4 linked regions of the Mus musculus genome follow. The protein of the gene in region 2 purifies or fractionates together with the protein of the main gene of each other region. This does not show direct contact. Links are inferred from orthologs where the notes say so. Each region holds a gene or a part of one and is shown on either strand. Other genes may lie near its edges.

The links.
Region 1: the proteins of Snca (region 2) and Slc6a3 purify together in Homo sapiens (affinity purification with western blotting; 6 studies listed by BioGRID and IntAct, with this or other methods). This does not show direct contact. The link is inferred for Mus musculus from reciprocal best matches to the Homo sapiens genes SNCA and SLC6A3.
Region 3: the proteins of Snca (region 2) and Park7 purify together in Homo sapiens (affinity purification with western blotting; 3 studies listed by BioGRID and IntAct, with this or other methods). This does not show direct contact. The link is inferred for Mus musculus from reciprocal best matches to the Homo sapiens genes SNCA and PARK7.
Region 4: the proteins of Snca (region 2) and Clu purify together in Homo sapiens (affinity purification with western blotting; 3 studies listed by BioGRID and IntAct, with this or other methods). This does not show direct contact. The link is inferred for Mus musculus from reciprocal best matches to the Homo sapiens genes SNCA and CLU.

What each region holds. Positions count from the first base shown.
Region 1 is NC_000079.6:73,539,686-73,543,250, forward strand, and holds part of Slc6a3 (sodium-dependent dopamine transporter), read left to right. Parts: intron 1-1,159; coding exon 1,160-1,291; intron 1,292-3,565. UniProt on the Homo sapiens protein: Mediates sodium- and chloride-dependent transport of dopamine. Also mediates sodium- and chloride-dependent transport of norepinephrine (also known as noradrenaline). Regulator of light-dependent retinal hyaloid vessel regression, downstream of OPN5 signaling.
Region 2 is NC_000072.6:60,731,071-60,735,067, reverse strand, and holds the end of Snca (alpha-synuclein), read left to right. Parts: intron 1-1,880; coding exon 1,881-1,964; intron 1,965-2,906; coding exon 2,907-2,939; 3' UTR 2,940-3,495; downstream 3,496-3,997. UniProt on the Homo sapiens protein: Neuronal protein that plays several roles in synaptic activity such as regulation of synaptic vesicle trafficking and subsequent neurotransmitter release.
Region 3 is NC_000070.6:150,907,103-150,911,309, forward strand, and holds the start of Park7 (Parkinson disease protein 7 homolog), read right to left. Parts: upstream 2,820-4,207; 5' UTR 2,681-2,819; intron 1,322-2,680; 5' UTR 1,306-1,321; coding exon 1,216-1,305; intron 40-1,215; coding exon 1-39. UniProt on the Homo sapiens protein: Multifunctional protein with controversial molecular function which plays an important role in cell protection against oxidative stress and cell death acting as oxidative stress sensor and redox-sensitive chaperone and protease.
Region 4 is NC_000080.6:65,974,931-65,978,495, forward strand, and holds part of Clu (clusterin preproprotein), read left to right. Parts: coding exon 1-83; intron 84-650; coding exon 651-1,062; intron 1,063-1,975; coding exon 1,976-2,080; intron 2,081-3,565.

The sequences.
Region 1 (3,565 bases), on a different chromosome or scaffold from region 2:
GTCCTTCCTTCCTTCCTTTCTCCCTCCCTCCCTCCCTCCCTCCCTCCCTCCCTCCCTCCCTCCCTCCCTCCCATTCTTTAAATACAGTTATGGGAGTTGAACCCATAGCTTGTTACGTGCTGGCAAGTGCTTGACCACAGAGTCACACCCATTGACCTCTTGAATTTTTTAGTTGGAGTAAGGATTTCACTGTTTCCTAGGCAATTCTTGAACTCTTTCTGTAGATCACACAGGCCTTAAACACTGGCCTCTAGAGTAGCTTGAACTATGGGTTTCTGTCACCAAGCCTGGCTCCCCTACTTTCTCATCTCAGCTTTACATCCATAGCTGTGCAGTAGGGCTAAAAAGAGGGCAAGGAACAGATTTACCAAAGAAATTCAAGTTGAGCCCAAAAGGCCTCTGTTGTCATGGCTTGGTCTCCCTGAGTGGCTACAGGGTATGAAGAATTGCTTTGGGAAGGAAGAGCTGAAGCAAATCCATGAGCACAGTGGCCTCATTATGTGCTCTTAATGCCCAAGGTCTCAGCAGCTCCAGTAGGTGACCCAAAGACATAGGTGAGGAGGCTCCTAGCTCATCTAAGCCCCAGAAGAAAGCTGTGGTCAATCTCTGCCTCAACCACAGTCATATTTTGGGGACAAAGCAGAGTTGGGTGTGGTGACTTTTGTGCAGCCCAAGCCCCACAGTCCATCCAGCTCCAGGAACCTCCTGGCAGCAGAAATTCAGCTCTGGTCCCCAGAAAGGTGAGATGTAAATACCAGGATTGGGTCACAGATCCCAGGACCATAACCTTCAGGGGCAAACAAGATCAAGACAAAGTGGGGTCTGGCATGAAGAGGCAGGCAGTGCTAGGGACTGGGCTGAGACATGGCTCAGGGCCTTGCCTGCCTTGCTTCTGGATGAGCTCAGGACATGGGGTCAGGGGACAACCAGAGGCATTAAGGGGACTATGTCCAACACTGACAACAGCTGCAGCAAGCAAGGAGGTTCACCACCAATCCAGGATATCCCCTTGAGTGGTAGCTATACAGGAGCCTTCCACTTTAGTCAGGAAGCTGGGTGACAAGGTCATACTTGAGGATGCAACATTGGGGTCCACATACAAATGATGAAAACTGCCCCGCCCATGGCCCTCAAGTTGAAGCTGCTGTCCTATGCACAGGTGCCTTCCTGGTGCCCTACCTGCTCTTCATGGTTATTGCCGGGATGCCCCTCTTCTACATGGAGCTGGCTCTCGGGCAGTTCAACAGAGAAGGAGCTGCTGGTGTCTGGAAGATCTGCCCTGTCCTGAAAGGTAATATGCAGGGATGTGTCCCACAAAAGACATGGCTATGTCTTTGGGGGTTCAGAACAAGGTGATGACGTTATGTGCAGGTTCCAACTTCCTAAACTGTGAGGATATATGTACATGACTGTGGGTCATACCTTAAAGACTGGTATGACCAGGAATCTTCTAGAACATGCCTTGCTCCCAGGCCAGGCTTCCCTAAAGCTAAGTGATGGTATTTTTGTCAGGGTGTTAAAAAAATACCTATGAATCTGCCACGTGTCTATCAACCATCTACTTACTTATTTATGGTCTATCCAACAAGCACCATTAAAAAAAAAATCTATCATCTATCTATCATCTGCCATCTATCTCTATTTATTACTCATTTATCTACTTATCATCTATATACATATTATCTGTTCACCTATCAGTCATCTATCATTCATCCTTCTATCTACATATCATACATTTATCAATCATGTATCTATCAATCATCTGCCTAGTTCAGTGAGTCCCAGAATGTTTATAAAAGGCCTAAGAACTATGAGGCAGGGGTACCTTACACTGAGTCTAGGTAGCCTGCTCAGTGATTGATACTTCCCAGATGTCAGCTCCCTTGTCCCAGGAGATCCCAGCTGGAGAACACAGTGCCTTCTTCATGGGAGATACTGACACTGAGAACAAGGCTAAGGACTTCTCAATGAGTTAAAAGCCAATCCTGAATCTACCTCAGCCCTGTTTACCACCAGCCAGCTTTGGATCACCCTTATCCTGACCCACTGCCATCCCAAGGAAGATAGAGTTCCAGGAGACTTCAAGACTCTTCTTGGAAGAGACCCAGTGACATTCCCCTCCAGTAGTTGGCATATGCTGAGAAAACGACGCTTGAAAGATTAGCATTGGGTTTTCTCAGAAGTATTTGAACAGTACCTGCATAGAAGAAAGCAGAGCCCCAGTTCCCCTGTGCAGCATCTGTGGGCCAGTGGTTGACACCCAAGACCAGAAACTGCTGCTTTGAATAGGAGCAGCAAAAGGGCTTCTCACAGCTGCTTAGCCCATGCATGCTCTTCATGAGCATGCTGCTCTTGCCCAATGGAAATGTGAAATGCAGAGGTTGTTGGGCACAGATAGCAGGCTTCTCAGTTTAGGATTCGTAACTGGTAAGTGTATAAAACTGTGTTAAGAAGGACCTTATCTAAACCTCCATGCACAGCTTTAGAGACAGACAGATCCTCTGGATATGTTACTGCACTGGATGTTCCCCACTGTGCTCAAAATGTAAGATTCAGCACTTAGGAGAACTGCACGGGACTGTCCGACACCATCAATGGTTTCTAATGGAGGACTACTGTGGCACTTGGGAACCCTGGGACTTTAGGAGATAATTCTTGTGTTGAACTCCAATTACTATACAAGCTTTGTTGGGCCAAGGTCAATGAGCTCAATCTAAGAGCTCCAGGTGAAAATAGCTCTTGTCATTCCATCCTAGACTATCTAGCAGTGCTAATGTGACCCAGGGAGTATATACCATTTCTGAGGCTGTGGTGGTAGCCACGAGCTTCAACCAAATCTGGTTTTCAGGTGGCCGTTTGGAACTGAATTGGAGACCCAGCCTGCCTGTCCTTGAATAGAGGACATGTCCAAGTTGGTGGTATCCTGTAGCTGTGTGATGCCAGAAGTGGATCTGCTGGACTTTTTGAGATTCGTGCTCCATGACTGTGGAGTGTGACATAGATTTCCACAGGATACAACCAACCAGTGCCTCAGTCTTCGCTGGAAGTCGCAAGGACTGAAAGGCCAACAGGAAGCCAGGAAAAGGGGAAAGGTTCAGTGCCCGGGGCTGTGGCTAACCCAAGAAAGCTAGTTAGCTCAAACATAGACCTACTCACAGCACAACTCTCTCGGTAGTTGGGTATGAGTGCTGGTGTACTCAAGAATCCCAGCACTAAGGAACTGGAGGCATAAGGATTGCAAATTCTAGGACAATCCTGGCAGAATAAAAGGCTGTCTGAGCAAAGCTCTTCCACAAAACCACTAAAGCAATTTTTTTTTTTCTATTTGTAAACTATCAGTAAACCATTTTGAAGAGCTTCACGGCACGATGCAATTCTCATAACTTGGCTTGGAGCACAGTGGATGAACAGGCATTGGTACTGATAGCTTTGTAGGGAACAGAAGACTGTGGCTATGTTACTGGATAGCTGAGAGAACCTCAAGAATGTGAACAGAGTCCAGTGAACTTGCTGCCTTAGTTTTTGGTGGTCCTATCCTTGTTTCTCGGCAGCTTTCAACCCATTC
Region 2 (3,997 bases):
TTAATTGATTGTATTTCATGGTAAACCCAGGAAGGAATTTCTAAGCAACATTCAGCATTATCTGGATGAACTCTGAAGGGCAAACACAGTTATCCCCTTATACACATGGACACCCACAGCCTGTGACATCCTCTTCTACTAATGTAGGAATATCAGAGTTAGGAGCCCCCAGGGTTGGCCTTTCATATTGTCTTATCCAGTTTATAACATAAATCTCACAAGTTACATTGGAAAATGCACTGAAGAGGTGGTTTACTATATTTCCTTCCTATGAGCTGTATAAAAATCACGTAAACATCAGTGAGAGGGGTCCATTGTGTCACTTGCTCCTCCCAGTTATATACAAATGAAAAGATCTCTTTGCTGTCTTTTCTCAACACAGTTAGTTGATGCTCAGGAGTGGTGGTAACATGCCCAGAGTCACAAAAGATAACTTAGGCTGGAATTGTAATGTGCATCCTATGATCAAGTTCTGGGGCTGAACTACCACACAACCAAAACCTGGATTCTTATACTACCATGTAAAATACTGTTACTCTACATTTTGAAGTGAGGTGATTTGGGGACAGTTTAAGACTTATTTAACTTATAAACAAATTGGCCTCTCTGGGTTTGTAACCAGAGATTGTTGATATCTATACAGCATGATAGGATGATCTGTAAGGTGCCCTGCCAAGCTACCGAAAGCATGACCTTCAGAGTCTGACCTTGCCTTAGTGTCAACTCTTATTTCTTCCCTCTGCCCACCTGTCCATTATGCCTATGATAAAAGCAGAGGGAGATAGCATTTACAGTGAGTATATTGCCCACAGAAGCTGAGCATCCTTTGATCTCATTGAAATAGACCATTTAGCCTCTAGTTGCTCTTTGAGTATTTGCTGAACTCTGTCATTCAATAATTACTTTGGTGGAACAAATGGAAAAGAACAAAAGATCTTTGATGAAGGATACAAAAAAGCTCCATCATGTCAAGCTGAATGCTAGGGTGTCTGCATTGTGGAGAGATAATCTGAAATTTTGTCCAATCATATCTTTGTTTTGGTTTTGGTTTTGGTTTTACTTCAAGTACATATAATTTCAAACTTCAGCTTTCCAAAGAGAACTATTTCTTTGGCAGCATTTAAGAATGAATTATTGGGGCTCAAAATATAGCTCACTGTTTAAGAACATATGTATTTTTCTTCCAGAGGACTCTAGTTTATAATCTAGCACCTATATGGAGAATCACAAGGATCTATAGCTCCGGTTCCAGGGAATGTGATGCCCTCATTATTCACCACACATGCACATAGTCCACACACATACTCACAAATAAAAGAAAAGAAAACAATGAATTATAAAACACATGTACTTTACCTTTTAAAATTTAGGAAAAATAAATAATAATGATAATTTGTCAATATTTGTTTTACTTTTTTGGAACATTTTTACTTTTTCATTGAAATGCTATGTGGGTTCTGTCTACAAATGACATCCTGTTAAACATTACACCAAAAATAAGCTATCCTTATTAGAGAATTGGCAAATGATTTCAGAAAAGTTTTGAATACATTACTGTTATTTGATTCATCATTACCCATTGACTACAAACCATTGTTACTATAGCATTGCGCTTATGGAGAGAACTTATGGACTTTAGCTTTGGCAACTTCCAGTGTAGTTAATTACCTGTGCAAAATATTTGTACTCTTTAGATTGGTAACCCATGCATGCACAATGTTTTTTCCAGTGGTTTGGTACACTTAGAATCCATCAATAATACAGAAGAATGCACTTCTGATAACACTTCGTGCAGCACCTTGAAGATAAGGTGTCTTTTTCAAGCTGGTTTTCAGAAGTTAAAACACTCTCTTATTGTGCTTTCTCTTCCCTCTCTGTAGGGTGAGGAGGGGTACCCACAGGAAGGAATCCTGGAAGACATGCCTGTGGATCCTGGCAGTGAGGCTTATGAAATGCCTTCAGAGGTAAATGCCTGTATAAAGAAAACTAAGCAAAACACTTTAGGTGTTTAATTTGGAACACATACCATCAAAACCCTGCCACTATCAGATCTCTCTCACATTATGGTTGGCATAGTTCAATCAAGAAAATATTTTAGAGCAAATGATTTTAATCTTTGTGGGAGAGGGTAAGGGATATAGTAGGTCAAAATTAAAACATTCTAGAACAAGAGACTGGTAGTAACAAAGGCATATGGAAATGTCTGAGTAACAACGGGCAGTTATGAATCATGGTTAGAAAACAGAAAAATGACAGATTAAGGCTGAAGACATAACTAAGGTTTTAGACAAACTGTAGAGCCCCAAGTTACCATCATTTAAGTTTATTTTTACATTTGGAAAAAGAAGAGTTTGATGATAGGTTTAGTTTAACAGCACAATCCTAATTAGAGTTAATTTTGAGGAAGGCTATCAAATTCAGTTACATTGGGTCATTACTGTCATGAATGTTATCTGGATTTTGTCCAGGAGGCTTGGGCTTTCATGTGAAAGATCCTTCATGGAAGCAATTCATGAAGGTGGAGTGTTCTAATGGGGGAGAGAAAGGCGAAAGATGAGCTCTGGAGGAGGCTTCATGCAGCTTACCTAGGTGTGCACAGCTCACACTGCAGAGCAAAGGAGAGAATCCAGAGACCCTGCCAATTCACACTGCAGGAGGAGAGCACAGATCAAATGATATACCTAGAATTGGGCCTAATAATCTAACGGTGATGTCCTCTATAACTTACAGTTGATACGTATGAAAAAGCCAATAAATGTCAATGACAGATAAGTTCCAAACACTGCTCTGAGGATCAATTTTATCTGATTGAAATGATGAGCCCTCCCCCACTGTGAAGCAGACAGTTGATATCTGTCACTTCACTGACAAGGCATGCTGTTATTATTTTCTTTTCCTGATATTAGGAAGGCTACCAAGACTATGAGCCTGAAGCCTAAGAATGTCATTGCACCCAATCTCCTAAGATCTGCCGGCTGCTCTTCCATGGCGTACAAGTGCTCAGTTCCAATGTGCCCAGTCATGACCTTTTCTCAAAGCTGTACAGTGTGTTTCAAAGTCTTCCATCAGCAGTGATCGGCGTCCTGTACCTGCCCCTCAGCATCCCGGTGCTCCCCTCTCACTACAGTGAAAACCTGGTAGCAGGGTCTTGTGTGCTGTGGATATTGTTGTGGCTTCACACTTAAATTGTTAGAAGAAACTTAAAACACCTAAGTGACTACCACTTATTTCTAAATCTTCATCGTTTTCTTTTTGTTGCTGTTCTTAAGAAGTTGTGATTTGCTCCAAGAGTTTTAGGTGTCCTGAATGACTCTTTCTGTCTAAGAATGATGTGTTGTGAAATTTGTTAATATATATTTTAAAATTATGTGAGCATGAGACTATGCACCTATAAATATTAATTTATGAATTTTACAGTTTTGTGATGTGTTTTATTAACTTGTGTTTGTATATAAATGGTGGAAAATAAAATAAAATATTATCCATTGCAAAATCTTTCCTGGTTCCTTTTACTTTAGTAACAAAATCATGCATATCAGGAACATGAACATTTAATGACAACTGACACAGTGAACTGGAATGAAAAGTTGCAACATGTCTTAAGGAACCGAGGGGATTTAGAGATGGAACAGCAGGAAGGATTCTCCAGTGAGATTGAACACAGCCAGCTTTATCTACAGTTCTGCTCAGAGCTGTGGCTGCACTTGAGGAAACACTTCATTGGAACTAAAACGTGTGAGGGATAGTGAACTTTTACATATTCATAAGACACATTAGCATATCAGAGGCAGGCCATTGAAGAACCTTAATTTGGAATTTATGGCATGTATATGTGTGTGTGTGTGTGTGTGTGTGTGTGTGTATTTGTGTGTGTGTGTGTGTGTGTGTGTGTGTGTGTGTGTGTGTATAAAAGAACCCAGGAAATACCTTAAAACTCCTCAGGGACCCCAGGCAGTGGGCTATGTATATGATACCTTAGCAGGTACGCAAAGGTAAA
Region 3 (4,207 bases), on a different chromosome or scaffold from region 2:
GGGGTCCTTCCCAGCCAAGCCTGCAACAGTGACTTTGATCTAGAGAAAGAGCAGATAGATGTTCAAGACCATGAAAGCACAGACTCCGGGCAGCCTGACACCCATTCTGTGGTTTGTAAGTAACCTGTCGGGGAGTACAAGACCAAGCCCAGGCAACGGTAAATAACACCTGGTCTCTTCTGGTTTGCCAGGGACAGCCCTAATTTGTAGCTGAGCCACTACTCTGGCTCTGCCTGGCTAGAACACCCTCTATTCCACAAGTGCTGAGTTGGGAGATGAGTTACCGGGCCGTCCTAATAATAACCCACGGGTTGAGGGTGGCATTATCATTACAACCGTATGGGCTTTTCTTAAAGTAGAAGTGCACAGCACACAACTAAACAACACTTTATCCTGTAAAACATTGAGTAGGTGACACTGCCAGTTGCTAGTCCCCGAAGCTCAGGAGATACCCGACAGTCCTGGGGGAGGACAGGTGAGTGCACTGGAGGCAACTTTTCAGAACCCAGTGATGCTGACTACACAGTCAGCAACCCCACCTTCAGGTGCTGAGCCTGAAAAACCATCCTCACGTTTGCACAAATAAACCCCACAAGAGAATATTTATTAAAGAGGCTGCAGAGATGGCCAGTGGTTAAGATCACCCCGGGGTTTGGTTCCCAGCACCGACATGGCGGCTCACAACCACCTCTAACTCTAGTTCCAGGGGATCAGGCTCTCATGTGGTGCACAGACAAACATGTGGGCAAACATTCATATATACACAAAAGATGAATGAACGCCTCGAAGTATTTACTCCAGTGTCATAAGGTTGTCACTGGAGGGGAGGGGTGGTGGCTTTCCTATGCTGTCCCAACTGTGCAGCGATGTGAAATGAAGAAACCGGGTCTGAGCCCTGCTCTAACTGGAAATCAGCGCTGCTGAGCGTCTCTGCCTGGGGTTTGTGAAAAGAGGCAGAGAGCTGACCATGCTGCTGCCAGGTCTGAGTGAGGAAATGCTCAGGGTGAGCCTGGCAAACCTGAGTGCATCCCATGCTCACCGTGTCACATAAACACAGAGTGGGGAGCCCAGGCTAACACGGAAGACAGCGCACAGCCCCTGACCGCCACATCTGCACCACGGGATGCAGCTCACACACAACATTAAACAAATAAAAGTGACTTGGAGTCCCCTCGTTTTTAAAACAGGGAGAGCTAGCCCATGAGGGGAACTCACCCCGGCTCGCCGCATGACATCCACAGGAATCACTGTCTCCATCTCCTCTGCTCCTTTGGCCAGGATGACCAGAGCTCTTTTGGAAGCCATTTCTATTTCTTAAAGACTTAAAAAAACAGGAAAAAAAAGTGTTCAAAATGTTGCCTCTGTAACAACCATCTGTTCACGCAGAGTAAATAACTTCTGTGTGACAGGTTGGGATCCATGGAAGCAAGCAGCTTAGATTAAAACTGGTTCACATGGCAGAGTTTCAGCACTCTAATCCCGGGATGAAAACAGGGTGGCTGGGGTGGGTAGTCTGTGGCTAAGAGCACTGGATCAAGGTTTAGTTCCCAGCACCCACAGGGCTGCTCCCAATTGTCTGCATCTCCAGGTCCAGGGGATACAGCGCCCTCTTCTGGCCTCTGCACATACATATATGCAAGCAGAATGCTGATACATCAAAATTAAATCCTTGCATGCCTTTAATCCCAGCACTCGGGAGGCAGAGGCAGGTGGAGTTCTGAGTTCGAGGCCAGCCTGGTCTACAAAGTGAGTTCCAGGACAGCCAGGGCTATACAGAGAAATCCTGTCTCGAAAAACAAACAAACAAACAAACAAACACCAACCAACCAAAATCTAAATCCTTTAAAAAAAATAATAAATGTGGGATTGCCAATGTGTGCTAGTATTCTTTGCATTTTCCCTTACTGTGCTTTCTTAGGACCAATCTCTAACGAAGACAGGTCACATAACGGGCCCTGCATATCAGTCACACTGTGGAGAGGCTGGTTTTCTTAAAATACTCTGAAGGAGGGAGGGAGGGAAGGAAAAGAATAAGAGAAATAAGAGAAAGAGAGAAGGGGAGGGGAGGGGGAGCGAGTCGAGCGCACACCTTTAGTCTCAGCGCTTGGGAGGAAGAGACAGAGACAGGAGTATCTATCTGTGAGTTCGAGGCCAGCCTGGTCTACAGCGTGAGTTCCATGATAGCCAGGGTTACAGAGAAACCCTGTCTCAAAAAACCCAAACCAAAACAAAAAAGCAAAGCAAAACAAAAAACCCCAAATCCACAATTTCACTGGTAAAAAACCAACTTGTAAATTTCGAAGGTTTTGTTCTTGTTGTTGATGTTCCAATAAACTGCTAAAATGTCAGGACCGGGTTGGGGGAGTCCAAAGGTGCTAAATCTCTGACCACACTGCTAATGATTAATAAAGATGGACTATCTCTTTAGGAGGTCAGCCCTGCTGCGGCCGGGAACAGCTAGCCGCCACTCGGAGGCACTTTCCGCGTGCTTTCCCTGCACGCTCCCCACGCATCACAACTTTGGTCAAGCCTTCCAGTAACTGCGCTCGCTCCAACCCGGAGGATGCTGTGCAGAGCCTGGCCCGGCATGCACTGCGGCCGCTGCCCCCAGCCCGCCCAGCCGGGACCCTCCGGGGCAGCGGGCGGATCACAGCCCGGCCTCTAGCCCCAGGGCGCTGACCTGCAGCCGCGCCTCCTCCACCCACGCGAAGCCACCGCTAGTCCGCAGGAACCTCGCACCCGACGTGTACCCAGCACGCATGCGCGCCACCCGCACTGAGGCTGCGCACAACCCCTCGCTTCCGCCTCGGCCTGCGTCATGTCCGGCTGAGCCCAGGCCCCGGGGTGGGGGTGGGGGGAGGAGCGAATAGAGGCTACTGCGGCTGCGCAGCGCTTGTACCATCTCGCCCCCAGACAACGGTACCGCCCACCCTGCGGGCGCCTGCGCAATTGCCCCTCTCTGCCTCTTCGACGTTTAAGTTGATAGTGGTTCCGAGTTTGAGGCCTGGCTGGGCTACAGCCTGAACCCCACACTTGTAATCCTAGCACATGCGAATTCACAGGCTGAAGTTCAGTCATTTTTGGAAGCCGTCTTACATTACGGTTTTTGTGGACCGTTTGCCTTTCTTGCCCCTTACTGTGACATCCCCTCTATTTGCCCCTGGCCTGCTAGTCTTCGTTCCACGTCATCCCAGGCCTGTCCCTCCCAGCTAGGCCTGGTCACCCTGTCCCCTGGGTCACAGGACGGTGTCAAGCTTTAAGAGCTCTTGCTGGTTTTGCAAAGGACCCAGGTTCGGTTCCCAGCATCCATTTGGGGAGACTCACCACTGCCTAACTCCGGATCCTGAGGATCTAATGCCATCTTCTGACCTCCACGGGCACTGCACTCATATGCACACAAATAATAAAATGTCCTACTGCACCCTCGGGTTGGAGCAATGCTATCATCTACGATAAGATAAATTATTTAATTATCTCATTTTATTTCAGCTTTTTACACTTCTGGGTTGACAGTTACTGTGTGTGCATCTCAACCTGTGCCAAAGGGTGCACGTGGAAACTCACAGAAGACCACTCGCCTTAGTGTGTTCTTTCTTTACTACAAGGTCTCGGATGGAACTCAAATCCTCCGGTGTGTGGCAAGCACCCTTACCTGTCGAGCCCTCCCACCGGCTCTCTCCTGAGTTTTTAATAGTTATCTTTCAGCTTACAGGAGGGAGACCCACCCTCACCTGGTCCTATCTGTACCCACCTCAGAGAAAGCCAGCTCGTTTGGCAAGTCTCAGTACTTTTTATACAAACCCCCGACAGGATATAAACTTGCTTTCCTTCCTATATGGAGATTGAATACCTCACATACATTGGCTGACCTCCATCATAGGTTCATATTGGAAATCTTATAAACTGGAAATTCTTTTTTTTTTTTTTTTTTTTTTTTTGGTTTTTCGAGACAGGGTTTCTCTGTGTAGCCCTGGCTGTCCTGGAACTCACTTTGTAGACCAGGCTGGCCTCGAACTCAGAAATCCGCCTGCCTCTGCCTCCCGAATGCTGGGATTAAAGGCGTGTGCCACCACGCCCAGCTTCAAACTGGAAATTCTTACAGTAGGAGTAGTTTAATTCTTAAAAATTGCTAAGTCATGTATATATACAATAAAACTTGGGCAACTGCTTTAGGAGTTGTGGAATGGACTGGTTCTTCACTATGTGC
Region 4 (3,565 bases), on a different chromosome or scaffold from region 2:
AGTGCAAGCCCTGCCTGAAGCATACCTGCATGAAGTTCTATGCACGTGTCTGCAGGAGCGGCTCAGGGCTGGTCGGCCAGCAGGTGAGAAGGAGAGATGTCCACAGCCTGGGTTCTGGATGGGGAATGTGGAGAATCCATGAAATAGGCCTCATTCCATATGCTGGGTACAGTTGATTAGCATTGCTTGACTGCACATCGTTCTAGTGTCATGGTCGATTGGTGATGTCTGCTTGGCAGGTACCATCTCTTTCAAGACCTTTAACTGGTTGGGTAAAATGGCCTTATGGGATGGTAGAATCCTGTGTTAGAATAGGAAAAGGGAATTAAAAAATATTTAGTCTATTTGCATTAATTCTATCCCTACCTGTGAGATTCACTTGGTTGGAACTCAGTAAAATTCACTGTTTCCTCAAGGCTGAGCAGCTAAGCAGGAGTGGCTATTTATTCTTTATGGCCCAAGGTGAGACTTGGGAACCTCCGAGTTTCGCCATGAGAAATGGATTTGGGGGGCGGCGGCGGGGGGACGGGGGGTGCTGACAGGGTACCCAGGAGGCAGAACAGTGGGAACTTGGGTCAGTTTCTGTGTGGCCACAGGGGGATACAGGCTGGAGTACACACAATGCCTTACTCTACTTCTCTGGGTCCCAGCTAGAGGAGTTTCTAAACCAGAGCTCACCCTTCTACTTCTGGATGAACGGCGACCGCATCGACTCCCTGCTGGAGAGTGACCGGCAGCAGAGCCAAGTCCTGGATGCCATGCAGGACAGCTTTGCTCGGGCATCTGGCATCATAGACACGCTCTTTCAGGACCGGTTCTTCGCCCGTGAGCTTCATGACCCCCACTACTTCTCCCCCATCGGCTTCCCACACAAGAGGCCTCATTTCTTATATCCCAAGTCCCGCTTGGTCCGCAGCCTCATGTCTCCCTCCCACTATGGGCCTCCGAGCTTCCACAACATGTTCCAGCCTTTCTTTGAGATGATCCACCAGGCTCAACAGGCCATGGATGTCCAGCTCCACAGCCCAGCCTTCCAGTTCCCAGACGTGGATTTCTTAAGAGGTTAGAAAGCAATTGCTTTCTTTCTAAGTAGGAATGTGAATGTCCCAGATGTCTAGGCTCTTCCAGGGCTTGACCTGTGCTGGTTTTATGTTCCTAGAAGCCTCAGAGGCTGGTATTTCCTCCATTTGTAGGGTAAAGGAGCTAGGATGGGGGCAAAGAAATGCAGGTAAATGTGGGGGGGCGCAGTTCAATTAGCATTTGTAGAGATTGGAGCTCTTGTGTTTGTTACAGTGAACTCAGGGTGTGATCTGGGGCTGTGCCTCCTATAGGATCCCAGATATTATTTCTTGGGAACTTTTGAGGGTGTGGTGTGAGAGGCCCGCCCTTCCAGGCAATGAGTCTGTGTCATCTTAAAGAAGATGTTCATGGCTGTGACCTTAGCGTGTAATGCCTGTAAGGATGAAATATCACGTGGACACGAGAAACCGGTGTCTGAGGAGTGATTTTTTTTTTCCATTAGTGCCTTGGGTCTTAATACCATGTCCTACATGGTATGGTTTGCATTAGAAATAGAAGAAGTCTTGGCATCCAACACACATCTACTGTAGCTCCATTGTCTAAAGATGGTTTATGTTGTCAGGACACACTTGTGCTCTCTGGGGCTTGAAGGCCAGTTAGGGAGTACCATCAGTCAAGGAGAACAAAGAACAGCCATGATGTCAGAAGGCACACAGCTGAGGGGATGTGGCAGGAGAGATCTCCTCAGATGGAGATGGTGGGAAGGCAGGCAGGACCTGCTGAGAGCCGTGGGAATATCCTCAGCCACAGGGAAGTCCCATGGCTGCAAGCAAACAAATAAGCTGCATCGTGCCCTGACCATGGCACTGAGCAGAGGTGTGGAAGGCTGTCGGGTGGGCATCCTTCTGATGTGCCATGTGTCTAATCCTGCCCCTCTTTCCCCTCATGTGTCCAGAAGGTGAAGATGACCGCACTGTGTGCAAGGAGATCCGCCGCAACTCCACAGGATGCCTGAAGATGAAGGGCCAGTGTGAAAAGTGCCAGGAGATCTTGTCTGTGGGTGAGTCCGGGAACCAGTGGTCATCTGACTGTGGGTCTCCAGTGACTCACTGGCACTATCCTTTTCCAAAGACTAGCTCTCTGCCTGGGAACTCTTAATCCCCGGGAGACTCCTCACCCTGGTGCACAGCCTACTCTCCTCTTATCTAGAGCTTCATTATTTGGGAGCTGGGGTAGGACCCAGTGCCTCCTGCATGTTAGGTGAACGCTCTACCACTGAGCCACATCAATTTTACTCAGAATCAAGTTCAGGTGCAGATTGTTCTCATATAGATGAGGTGGAGCTAAAGTGCCCACCACCACCCCTGTGGCTCACTGGCAAACCTGCAGTCCACGGTGGAATTACACTGTATCGACCAGTAAGCCACAGCTCGTTCCCCTGGCTACTTTGTTCCACAGTGCCAAGTACTGTAGACCCTGATTTTGAACTTCTGATTATGAAATCTTTGACAACATGCGTTTTGTTTAACAAGTGCTCGCCACATGCCAGGCACTGCTGCAAACACGTCACAGGTGTCTGTTCGCAGAATGATCCTGTGAGCTGGGTACAGCTCTCTTTCCGTCTTGCTGGATGGCTAAGTGACTTATCTAAGATTACGTGACACGAGGCTTCTCACTTAGGCTGTGCTCATAAACAGCACCCTGGGGTTTCTCCCTGGGGACCTTGAGCTATGTCCTTGTGATGGTGGTCCTTGGTATCCTGGCCGCATTCTTTTTGGTGAACTAGTCCCTCAGAAAAGGAACTATTTTTCCTTCATCAGTTCCCCAGGCAATCTGGGTATGGTGACATATCCCTATAATCCCAACATTTGGGAGGCTGAGGTAGGAGGGTGGTGAATCCGAGGCCAGCGGCGAGGTTCTGTCTCAATGAAAACAAAACAAAATACAGCAAACCCAAAACTGTTCCCCACAGATTTGTCAGGTCTGGCTATCAAGCCAATGCCCCGCCTTCAGCCTGGTCTTTACAGTGGCTCACAGTACACGGTGCTACCTGCTCAGATCACCCTCTTTGTTGGCCGGGACAGACCTTTAGAGTCTGGTTAAATATTCCCAGCCTCATTCCTGCAATGTTAGGAGGCTAGGAAAAAAAAAAAAATACTAGTGCTTTCAAAGGTCATAGTGTGACATTATAAACAAATATGGGCCACACCTGTAGGCTTTCCCTTATAGTTGAAAGATGGGGTGCCTGAGCACAGAGAAGCCAGTCACCTTATAGACTGGATCTCTTACATCAGACTTAGCGATCCTCTCAACAGTCACCCGTTAGCTCTTATTTACGGTGCTTATAATGGTATCCTCTCAGCAGTCACCGTTTCTGTCACCCGTTAGCTCTTATGTACAGTGCTTACAATGGTATGGATAGGCTTCACAGAGACCTCTCGCCTGGGACATCTTGCCTCAGCCCTGTGGGCAGACCTGACCATGGCTGAGCATTTAACAACATTTTTGGCTCCAACCTACCATCTACCAAGAGCAACCCTCCCTC